Linked DNA regions of Caenorhabditis elegans. The protein of the gene in region 2 interacts with the protein of the main gene of each other region in a pairwise test. Each region holds a gene or a part of one and is shown on either strand. Other genes may lie near its edges.

Region 1 (3,431 bases), on a different chromosome or scaffold from region 2:
TTTTGGGTCATGTGGAAACATATTGGAAGTTTCGAGATCATTTATTACACAAAACTTTTTTTTGAGGGGCGCCCAATGTTGAACGTGAAAAGCAATTAAGAAGAGACTGTGCGGAAAAAAAAGACGGAACGGAAAGAAGATAGATAGTAATTCGATTTAAAGTTCAATTTATATACTTTTTGAATCATAAAGAACGGTTTAAAATAAGAATATGATAACTTGATGCTTGAAATCATTTTCCAAGACGGCACTGACCCCAGGAACATAGCATTCCTTCGGATCTAACAGCAGCTGGTCCATCTTTCGGGAATACTTTATAGTATATTGTGCCGCCCATCCCTTCCAGATGAGCCGACGTTTGTCCAACTGGATTTACTCCTTTCTTAGGAAACTGTTCCCACGACTGAAAAGTTAAAATTGGCATGATAAAAACATATTTCACATTTCACGCAACTGTTCTAAAAAATCGTCAAGTCAAAAATTCATGATTGATCTATTATATGTGTACATTTTTCTTTTTTCTTCAACTTTTTCCACGTCTCCTCGCGAGCGTAAATAAATTAAATTAAATAACACTGTAACGTGTTATTTTTTCTTGCATATTGTTTGTTACTGAAGTGTAAAAAAAACTGACTATGAGACAACAACTGCTGTGGTATAATAACTAAACAGAAAAATTTGTAAAATACAGAAAAAAAAATGACGAAAATTGAACGTAAAAGGAAGTATATGTAGTAAGTGTTTTTGTCGTAGAGATATATAATTTTCCAACCCGCGAAAATTTTCATAAAGGAGAATTGAATTTTTTTTTGATAATTTTTGCGGATTTGATAATTTTTTCTTGATAATTCGGCAATTGCCGCCCACCCCATATACACTAGCGGGCATTAAACTTACTTTTAAAATTGTTGGAGACAAGTTGCATATAGTTCCAGTGATTGTAAAATTCTTTGTTTCCCCATACTTCGAAAATTTAAAAATTTCGGAATCCGTTTTGTTGAACCAGGTGAACTGGGCCCATACATCCCTATCTGTTTCCGATCTTACTTGAGCGTTGAATTTGCAACAATCCATAATAACAAAAACAGAAATGAATGAAAAAATTCGCAAAATTTTCATCTTAAAGGTGCGTGGTATAAGTCAAAATTGGTGTGAATGACGAGAAACAGAAACGAATAAATATATAGGTTTGTAGGTCATAATGATATCACATGTACGGAAACAATGATAAAATACATCAAAATCAAAGATTAAATGTAAATTTAGTAGCTAAAAGACAATTGCATGACACCTGAAATTTGAAACTCTAACAGAACAGTATCTGTGATTTGTGAAATCAGGAAATTGGAAGTTTCGATCGGTACAAATACATCCCATACTTCTTGCCAAAGGAAACACATTTTGCATTGTGTCCATTGAAGTTCTTCGTATTATTACCGGATCGTCAGTCTTTTTGGAGGCCTAAGAATACGGAATAATTATTTTAAAACTGTTTCAACCCACCTTTTTTATAATATCATACAAAATAACGTCATTACAACGTTCACCTTCAAAATTATCATCTTGGCATGATGCCAGAGTGAAAAACATGACAAGTACTAACAATAATAATAAAGAAGACATATTAACTTTAAATGACCTCTGTTCCTGGAGACCTTTTTACTTTTATAGGTAGTTTAATTGGTTGCAGTACCAATTTTTGTTTTTATTAGTTCACGGGAAAGTATTATTTTCAGCTAAACGTGTTTTTCAAGTGTTATTTTATGAAAAAACATTTGTGTGTCACGTCCAAATTGATACGATTAGTTGTAAAAACTGTTGGTTTATTATTAAAAAATAAAGGGTTAATTGTAAACATTCATCGATTCTTTAATAGTATTCTATCGATTTAAAAAAATGATTCAACCAAAGAATGTCTGAAATAAGTTTGAATTCCTGACTATGAGTAAATGAATTACCAGTTGATTTTTTTCCAGTTGAAGCATCTTTTTTTTTGATTTTTAGACACTTTTCAATAAACCTTGATACTTAATACTAACAAACATCGTTGAAACTTAAAACTTTCACTATAAATTGATAGTTTTTCTTCTTATTTAAAATTTTTGCAGTCTCGGAAAATTTGAAATAGGTTGTTAAAACCATGTAACAGAGCAAAAACAAAAAAAACCGTATAATATAATCGGAATTGAAATTTTTTATGAAAAGTTTAATAAATCATAGGAACATTGTGAAATACACTTTTACAGTTATAATTTATTAATATAATCCGTTTCCTATCAGAGCTAAGTTTATAATTTTGTTACTATAACATGTTAAACATTGCCCCAAACACAAGAAAAGTTACACAATGGTCATCTTGGCCAAGAAATTGATAAGATAAATCATGGGAAGTAAAGAGCAACTGTTCATTCGAGCCCTGCAGTCGTCAGTAGTTTCCAATAATGTCAAGATGGAAGGTCGTTATTTTGTGCCTATTAAGTTTTATGTTTGAAATCGGTATGTTTATATTTGGTTGATTTACAATCAGCGTTTTTTTTCTGTTTGAATGAAAAATGTGAGAAATTCATGAAAGAAAATCTCTAGTTTATTAAAAAAACTAGATCATAAAAAAATTTAAAAACAGGTTTCACTTGGACTATTCTTTAAAAAAAACGTTCTAAGGCTAAATTGCTTTGGATTAAATTTAAAAAAAAACCCACACTGACTAAAAATTGCATTCCCTAATGAGACTTCATAATAAGTTTTCGGTTTTAATGGCTCCAAAAAATCATAGATAAATTTTTGAGAAGTCTTTTAATGATATTCGGTTTTAGGTGTGGGGAGGTAGTTTTGAGTTTCCCAAACAATGAATAAAGTGAGAATGATTTACCGTTCAGTATTAATATTCTTTTAGGTCATGCTTCTTTTCAATGCAACCCAAAAACCTATGACGGCGCGTTTCTCAACATTGTTTGTGTTTGCAACGCAACGTTTTGCGATGAAATTGAGCCAATAGGAGAGATAGCTGAAGGGAAGGCAATTGTTTATAGATCAAGTTTGGACGGCGATAGATTGAAACGCATGAGTATGAAAATGAAAGAGAAATTGAGAAAAAATGAATCAGGTAAGAATACTTATCTAACACATTTCCGAGGTGCAAATCATCCTCCAATTATTAAATGTTTTATAGTTAATGTGACAATTACAATAGATGCCAGTGAAAGATTTCAAAATATTTTTGGTTTTGGAGGAGCATTTACTGATTCTGCCGGCGATCAATTTGTTTCCTTATCGGAGACACTTCAAAATTATATCGTTGATTCATATTTTGGAAAAAATGGATTAGAATATAATATAGGAAGAGTTCCAATAGCCAGTTGTGATTTTTCTACTCATGAATATAGCTATGATGACGTTCATGATGATTTTGAATTAAAACATTTTGCATTACC
Region 2 (4,080 bases):
CATCCGCATGAAAATATTGTTATTCCCTTGCATAGACTTGGGCGTGAAGAATTGATTCAAGCAATATCTCGAATATTGAATGAACCCATTATGGTTTATGATGAAAGAAAAGTTATTTCAGATTTATTAGACTTTTCATCAAACTGTGGAGTTTTGAAACAGTATCGAGATATTAAAGTTATCAAAAAAGGAAGCTAGTACGGCTTTCCATTTTTAAACACATCAAATAATCCTTTATTTTAGTTGTGAAATATCTCAAAATTCGGTGATAATCGACATATCGATGCTCTATTATACGTTTGGAAATGGTGTCAACGACGACGAGGGAATCATTAGAATTCCATATTCCGACCACTCTTCAAGAAGTGAAATTCTTAAATTTCTCAGTCATTTTCACTTTAAAACGATTACGCCGTGTACTAAAAAGTATTCTATCATTGAGCTGGCATCTTTGGAAAATGCAGGAAAACGATCAGAAGAGGACCACACAGTAGAAAAGTAAGTTAGTCTCATTATTGAAGCACGACTTTCGAAAAAGGGAAAGTTATTCATATTCCCAAAATTGTGAATTTTAATTAATAGGAACATCTTACTTTAGGACTCAATCTACTATCCAAGGAACACCCATTTCACAACTTCAAGAAGACCCTCTACCGCCTGGAGTTGTATTTCGAACGAATACATGCGATTTTATGGATATGGACTTGGACAATTGGCCGGAAGGACCTCCGAAAACATTTGCGGAAGCTATCGCTCGGGCCAATAATTCAAGAAGGCCGAGAAATCCAGGACTATAATTTATTAAAACTTCACAACGGTTGATGCAATAAAATTAAATATTACATGATAAGCATTCGACATGATGAAAGTTTAGGATAACAGAACGATTTGAAAAAAGATTATTCAATTTTTAATATCATTACAGTTCGATTAACAGTTGCCCACATTTTGGCTGTTCTGATTCTTTTAATTCATGTAGAAAGTCGGGCTTTCAGAGCTTCTTCTTGTAGACGACATTTTTGGTACTCACTGCGCAGTTTGGCAACTTGATAATGGAAAATAATGCGAAGAGTGTTGCGCTCTTTGTAGGTCGCTCCACATGTTGGACGGAGAGAAGGAATCATTTCAGAAATAGTCGATGATTGATCAGCGATGGCGACTTCTAGTTGTTTCTCTGCAAGTTTAGTTGATAATACCATCAAAATTTTTTTTCAACTTACTTTCAATGTTTAATTCATCCAGATTGTTTTTGAGTGAATTGAATTGACCATTCATCGAATCATGTGACTGAAAATATAACATTCAGAAACCCACTCTTTTTAAAAATTATAAAGTTATCGAGCAGACTTACCAAGTTGTTCATCGATTTAATTAATGAATTGAAGTGATCTCCGAACTGTGTACCCGCACTGTCCACATCCTCGTTTTCCAAATAAGACATTAGTTCATCATAGGCTTTTTCTTGTCTCTCTTCCCAGTCTCTTTTCTGTTCAGACAGTTTATTGTCAGTTGCTGTCAAATCCTGAAGCTGTCTTTCTAGACTTTCTCGTTGAGCAGCACATTTAACCCTGTCTTCAGCAATTCGCTCGGTGAATGAAGTTTCGGCTGAAGAAAATTTTAAAGTTGAGCCTTTTTCAATCTGTCAAACCTTCAAGCTGTTGAGTTTCGATTTGCCTCATTCCTTTTTCTATGGCCTCTGAAAATGTATTTTTAAATTCATATTTCATTGATGTTTGCCTCAAAACATACCTCTTTCCCCAGCGAGCGAGTTGGTGAACTCAGTGAGCTGCCCGCAGAAAATTTTGAATCGGTCACCATTTACTGCCTGACTGACAAGCTTTTCGAAATTCATTTATCTCTGAAATTGGAGATATTGAAATGGCCAATTCACAATAGAAAATAAAAATATTTAAAATTAACAAAAAACCGTAGCGTGTTTGCGATCGTTGCGAGACCCACATGACTTAAGAACAACGTGAGCCTTTAAACCGTATGTTTTCATGAACAGTTTTATTTTTATTCACTCATTAAACACACAAAATATTCATTTTTTAAATATGTATTCGCTTCGACAATTTTTAATTCAAATTAATTTTATTAAATTTAAGCAACAACCTACACTCAAAATAAAAAAACTGCGTGGCCTGTACTGCAGAAAACCTCATTTTTAGGCCCCGCCTTTTTCTCGTCCACTCACGGACAAAAGGCAAAAATTTGGGGACCAACCAATATCAGGCCGCCGACATCCTACGGGTTCCGCGCGCCGCTAGGATTAACTCGCTGTGGGCGTGGCGAGCTGTCTCCGCCCGCTGCGAGTTAAACATAGCGGCGCGCGGAACCCGTAGGATGTCGGCGGCATGATATTGGTTGGTCCCCAAATTTTTGCCTCCACTCCGTGAGTGGACGAGAAAAAGGCGGGGCCTAAATATGAGGTTTTCTGCAGTACACGCCACGCAGTTTTTTTATTTTGAGTGTAGTTTGTCCCAAGCTTAGGCAAATTATAATTATTCCCAGCTTTCAATGCGACGTACTTGGTGCTTCATCCTAAATAGTTTGCTGCTAATCCAAGCGCTTGTTTTCTTTTTCAAATTTCCTCGCTCTACTTGCGGCCGCGGACGAAATTATTCGGCACGGCCATATGATCATCCCCGTTGCGAAATTTACTCTAACATATTTTAATATGTTTTCTTGTGATTATCAAACTTTTTTACAGATGTCAACACAAAGATTAATTAAATTGCCTCATAGAGTTCTTTTGAAACTTCATGGCTCTGACACAAACGCGTTTCTTCAAGGTTTAATTACAAATGATGTGACGTATGTTTTTATACTCTAAAAATTACAGCGAAAATGATTACATCTTATTTTGCAGAAAACTTCAAACTCAAAATGGACTTGCTGCTTTTTTGCTCAACACAAAAGGGAGAATTGTTGAAGATGTTCTTCTATGGAGACGAGGAACTGATGATTTGTTCTTGGAATGTTCTAAAGAAAATAAAACTATTTTAACAAAAGAAATCTTGAAATATCGATTGAGGAAACAAGTTGAAATCACCGAATCTTCCGATCAAATATTTTTCACAGAAGATGTATCGGACAAACAAGGTAGAAAATGAACGTCAAAACTTTAATAACATTTTATTTTAGCTCACCGCGATCCTCGATTTTCTGGTTTTGGAGCTCGCGTTTTCGGTAATCCGTCTTCATCGGAAGTTAGCGAAAATCGAGAAAAATATGAAAATTTGCGACGATCTGCTGGAATTGCAGAAGGATCTCAAGAATTGGCGGAGTTGCTTCCTTTTCAGGTAAAAATACAACAGAAGCAATTTAAATGAAATATTTCTAAAAGTTCATTTTCAAATATTATTTTTTAAGGCAAACGGTGATCTGCTCAATATGGTTTCACTTGATAAAGGATGTTATGTTGGACAGGAATTAACTGCAAGAACTGCTCATACAGGTTACTTCAACTAAATTTAGATATTTGGAGACGTGAAATCTCACTTTCCTTTTTATTTAGTAACTTGTCAATTAAATTTTTGTAAAACCCACAAAACTAGTTCAATTTGATTTTGAAAAATTAAATTTTGACAGGTGTTATCCGTCGACGAATCTTACCATTTGAATGTGAAGGTCAAGTCAAAATTGGAGCAGAAGTTCTGGACGAGAAGAAAAATAAAGTCGGAAAGGTGTGTTTAAAAGTTATAGTGATAAAAAATTCATCTAAACGTTGGAATTATCTGGAGTCAATTCACTGTCAAAAATTGAAAAACAATAGTTTCTGTTCAATTAAAAAATCTTCAGATTATCTCTTCTGACACAACTCGTTGCCTGGGAATTCTTCAACTTTCTTCATTCAAATCTCAAAAATTGACAGCTGATGGAGTTTCGTTAACCGCAAAGCAACCTGAATGGATGCCTGATAAGATTTTAGCGAATAATAAAACTAGAACTAGCTTGACGGATTCTTAAATTTTCTATGATATTTAGGAGACATTTCTTTAAATTCGATTTTCATCTTATTCGGAAGTAGACTTTTTTTGAAACACTTTTCTTCTTTTCGTTTTATATTTTTTGTAG
Region 3 (4,644 bases), on a different chromosome or scaffold from region 2:
GCTGTTGATGATCAGGGAAATTATATGGCGACCACGGGTCTCGACAGGAAATGTCGTATTTGGGATGTTCGAATGTTCCGTCAACTTCATGCATATTCACTACCATTTGGAGTGTCGAACGTGGCAATTTCTCAAAAAATGAACGTTGCCTGTGCAGTTGGAAACCATGTACAAGTGTTCCGTGGAATGCATAATGGGACGTGTAAAGAGCCGTATTTGGTGCACAATTGTGGAGGTGTGGTCACTGATTTACGATTTGTTCCATGGGAAGATGTGCTCGGAATTGGACACGCAGGCGGATTCACGAGTATGTTGGTGCCAGGGGCAGGAGATCCGAACGTTGATACGCTCAGATCTAATCCGTACGAAACGAAATCACAGAGAAAGGAAAGAGAAATCAAACAATTGTTGGATAAGGTATGGAATTTATTTTATTCGATTTTGATATTTGAAGTCTGGATGTCAAAAACTCTATTTTTTATGATTTTATCATGAAAATCGAAAGCACCTCACCAATAAAAAAGAAACCTTTAAAAAATTTTCTCCAAAAAAATCTTGATTTCTCTATATTTCATGAAAACTTTAGTTACAAAATTATGTTCAATCTCGAAAAAAATGAGATTTTTTTTGAAAATTTATTTCAGACTACTTGGTTCTAAATTTCACAAAAGTTTTCCACGGAAAATTCGGAGTTTTCTTATACTACAGCAATTTAGAAGACCCTTCTTTGGCAAGCGAAAAAAATTTTTGCAAAAATTGTAATGCTAACTAAATTCTAATTTTCAGATTCAACCGGAGCTCATCAGTCTTAACCCAGACGACATTAACAAGGTCAATGAGGGACTTCTCGAGTTGGAAGAGGAAGAACGAAAGAAGATTCTCTACATTCGTCCGATGGCTGTTCAATATACGCCACGTCACAAGATGCGCAGCAAGAAGAGTGGTTGGAAGATGGAGGCTCGTAAGAATATTGTCAAGGATCAGATTCGAATGGAACGGAATATGGAGAAACATGCGGTGGAGAAGGAAGTTTTTGAAGCACCGGAAGTGGATGACGAGGCTCCGAAAAAGAAACACATTCTGGATCGTCTCAAATAGAAGGATAATCAATTTTATTTTTTGTTGTTGTTGATTTTGCGTTATTTTCGTTTTGTTTTTACTGAATTTTTGAAATTATTTCTTTAAAAGATTTGACATTTGGAAATTTATGAAACGAAGGAAAAAACAAACAGTAAAATAAAAAAGTAGAAACTAGTATGTATTTTATTCGTAATCTTCCTCTTCTCCCTCCTCATCATACTCTTCCTCATCCTCAAAGTCTTCTTCAACCTCGTAGTTCTCCTCCTCTTCATAATCTTCTTCCCCTTCCTCTTCTTTCATAAGATCGTCATTCTTCTTCTGAAGATCCGCAATGATCTTCTTCTGGGCTTCCAACTGCCCCGTCGTCTCGATCATCATCGCCTGGATCTTCAACGTGAGCGCCTCTTCGAATCGATGCTTGTCCTCCAGCTCTTCAAGCCGTTTCATATAGACTTCAGTGAGCTTGTTCGCATCGTCGACCTGTTTCGTGAGGCTCTCGATGGCCATCGTCTTTTTCTTGGATTCTCTAGCAGCACTGTCCAATGCATTAATCGTCAATCTCAAAACACCCTCTGGTGGAATACCAGTTTTCGCTGCTGGCATCAAATTTTTGATTCTGAAAAGTGTTACTTTTTGCATTTGTGCTTGTTATTATGGGGACGCAAAAAATGGTTTTTTGAAATCATCAAGGCACAAGCGCGCTCCAATGATGGGTCTCATTAGGTATTGGCAGGAAACTCGTAAATTCAAACGTTTTTGTTGTTATTATCGATTTTAATGTCGAAATGGTCTTTAAAGATGCATTTGAATAAGGGTTTCTCGTGTATTTTACATGATTTGTTTCGACATAGAAATAGTGGAAAAACTCTTGAAAAAATTTGAATTTCTGATTTTGCCTTCGCCAATACCTAACGAGACCCAACTTTAGAGGCGTTGCGTTTTAACTTGGGTAGGCTCCGAAACTCACCGTTTTTCATTCTCAGGATCTGTGCTCTCACCAAGGTTAGCCACAAGTAATTCGATTCTCAAGAATGTCTGATATGACCTGAAAAAATAATTCGATAAATTTTAGGAACTCAAATTCTTAAAAACTCACTCATCAATTTTCGCATCCCTTTTCTGCTGTGCTTCCCTCAAAAGTTTCTCCAATCGACCAATTTCCTCATTTGCTACTTGTTTTCCTTCTTTCGTCTCCTTTTCAAGATCCGAAATTCTTTCCGTGGCAACTCTCAATTTCTCACTCAAACATTCCACATATTCGACATTCGAATCAGTCTTCTTCGCATCGAAAAGCTCTTTTCGTTGCTCCAAAAACTTTTCAGTGAGCACTTTGAATTGCAAGTTCTTCGCGGCAAGCTCGGTTTGCACATTGCGGAGTTCGATCGAAGCCATTATTTGAATATTACAGACAGAAAAAGGGTGACAACCAGTCGATAGGGACCTGTGCGAGTGAAATGAGACAAGAAGAGGAGCACTGCTAATAGATGGTATCTACCGTAGCAGTTGACCTTTCCAAGAGGTAGACACGTCATCATTGTCTGACATACTATGTTTGCTCTCTCTCTCTCTCTCTATATGGTCTCGAAGGGAAGGAGATTAGGTCATAGGAGACGTTTATTGGAATGAAACACTTCATTAAAAAGGGTAATTAGTGAACTAGATGAGCTAAATGCATATTCAAATTTGTAAAAGGCCACCTAAAATGTTATGCATTGTCAAGAGAAATGGCAGTACTACCTAAACTGTGGCTGTGAAAATTATCTGGATTAATTTTTTGAAACCTAAAGAACGGTCATTGATAGTCAGAACTTTAGTTAATATATTTTTCTTGCATTTTTACATTTTTTGGGTAAAAAAAGGTGTCATGTTCAAAGTTTCCATTAGTTTTCAATATCTGAAGCTCTTTTTACCAAACGTTGAATCAAAAATAGGTGACAGACATTATTCCAATTTCAATTACCAACTTGTATTCTAGGCATTTTCTTTCTGCTACAAACTTTCTGCAACACTTTTTTTTGTGAATATTAACCAAAAAGTTGGCATGACAGACGCCGAATTAAATAGTTGATTGGTCAGATAACTGTATCTTTTTTCTCATGTTATCAGTGAAGCAAGAATCAAAAACTTTCAATAAACCGAAAATAGTTCATTCGAAAAAAAAATTATCTAGAAATTTCAGTTAAGTTTTTGGTAAAAAATTCAAAAATTCAACAAAATTGAACGGTATACGACGAAGGTTTCAAGCACACGAACATTGTTGAGTTGTCAAATGGATAAGTGTATGCACCTGGACATGCATTCTTGAACATCTTCGTTGTAGAGCTCATTGTGCATTTATCTGGAGAATCATACTCCCCACGGCAGCATTCCTTATCAGTTCCATATCCAAGACATCCAGATTTACACCCAACAGTGTAACCTGAACTACTCTTCACTGCAAGTTCTGTAGGGCATGCAGCATTTACATCAGAGATGCATCCACCGGCTCTTTGACATCCCAACCCATCAATTAACATTGGGAGATTGTAACCATCGATTAGATTAACTGCATAAAAGTCTCTTCCAGCCCAAGATTTCAAATTGAATTCTGCGACAGATGCGGGTGGAGTTCCTGTCCTTCCATTGCATTGTTCTGCGTTCTGGAAAAAGTGTAAAACTCTCAAACCTTTTTCATTTTTTTTCAAGACTTCGGGTATTCCCAATTTCGGATGTTTTGAAACTTATTCAGTATATGCGTGTGAATTCTGCGAAACGTTTGAAACTTCCTGTCAACATTTACTGTTGAGAAGCTTGCCCAAAGTTTGGCAGAAAGTAGCAAAAATTTGGCAAAAAGATTATATAGTTTCGACGACCGTAAAACGTGCCCAGAGTTTGACAGAAAAAAGACCAAAAATTTGCCCGAAAATGAAAATGTATTTTGGTAATAGATTTTGGAATATTCATCAAAAAAAAAATGATGTACGTCCTTGACAATTCACGACTTTCAGATATTCTAGAACATCTAAAGTACTTTTTCGTATTTCCCTTTTACACAATTTTTTGGCTGAACTTAAAAAATTGTTCAAAATGTTTTGATCAAATATCCCCAAGTGTTTATTTGTTTCAAAACTTCCATAGAAACTTATACTTTCAAAATGATACACTGTTAAAGTATAGATCTATAGACTTCAAAAAAGTTACATTCAAACTACGGAAAACTCACCAAACAAGTTCCAGTCTCACAATTGAAATCTCCATCACATCCAGTCCGTGCCCAAATCTTTCCATTTCTCCAATCATCATCCACATTTAAATACTTTGCCGCCCACGCATCTATTATTATAGACTACGATTGTCCGGCTGTTCACAGTGAGGAGCAGAGATATAAGTAGAATCCAGATGGAAATCATCTGAAATTTTAAATAATTGCTGATCGATTATGTTTATAAAAATTGTTTGCAAAAATATTCGTAAAAGACTACTGTAGTCAACTTCCCGTAATGTAAAGTGTCTTCCTTACATACTTTCCTTTCCGATAACAAAAGTTTGTCCAATTTTGAACCAACTGTAGCATTGTTCCTTAAA

Evidence for each region. Proteins that work in one complex are often made in the same cells at the same time.
Region 1: the proteins of syp-3 (region 2) and grl-24 interact in a two-hybrid assay, tested with the Caenorhabditis elegans proteins (2 studies listed by BioGRID).
Region 3: the proteins of syp-3 (region 2) and atz-1 interact in a two-hybrid assay, tested with the Caenorhabditis elegans proteins (2 studies listed by BioGRID).

Annotation. Positions count from the first base shown.
Region 1 is NC_003282.8:17,474,216-17,477,646, forward strand, and holds grl-24 (Ground-like domain-containing protein), read right to left. Parts: upstream 1,629-3,431; 5' UTR 1,624-1,628; coding exon 1,504-1,623; intron 1,462-1,503; coding exon 1,270-1,461; 3' UTR 1,120-1,269; downstream 1-1,119. Other genes in the region: gba-3 (Putative glucosylceramidase 3), read left to right, coding at 2,894-3,103, 3,170-3,431; F11E6.9 (TransThyretin-Related family domain), read right to left, coding at 233-403, 898-1,119.
Region 2 is NC_003279.8:8,662,263-8,666,342, forward strand, and holds syp-3 (Synaptonemal complex protein 3), read right to left. Parts: upstream 1,859-4,080; 5' UTR 1,853-1,858; coding exon 1,750-1,852; intron 1,697-1,749; coding exon 1,649-1,696; intron 1,606-1,648; coding exon 1,352-1,605; intron 1,288-1,351; coding exon 1,221-1,287; intron 1,175-1,220; coding exon 972-1,174; 3' UTR 798-971; downstream 1-797. Other genes in the region: mrt-1 (5' exonuclease Apollo), read left to right, coding at 1-197, 244-498, 599-797; F39H2.3 (Aminomethyltransferase folate-binding domain-containing protein), read left to right, coding at 2,714-2,817, 2,873-3,105, 3,148-3,305, 3,376-3,460, 3,595-3,689, 3,805-3,972. UniProt on the Caenorhabditis elegans protein: Plays a role in early meiotic events; during prophase I contributes to synaptonemal complex (SC) assembly, synapsis and chiasmata formation and stabilization of homologous chromosomes pairing.
Region 3 is NC_003282.8:12,373,582-12,378,225, forward strand, and holds atz-1 (Protein atz-1), read right to left. Parts: upstream 2,541-4,644; 5' UTR 2,473-2,540; coding exon 2,177-2,472; intron 2,126-2,176; coding exon 2,048-2,125; intron 1,697-2,047; coding exon 1,264-1,696; 3' UTR 1,100-1,263; downstream 1-1,099. Other genes in the region: wdr-46 (WD repeat-containing protein 46), read left to right, coding at 1-417, 787-1,098. UniProt on the Caenorhabditis elegans protein: Plays a role in meiosis, germline development and oocyte morphogenesis. May play a role in DNA replication.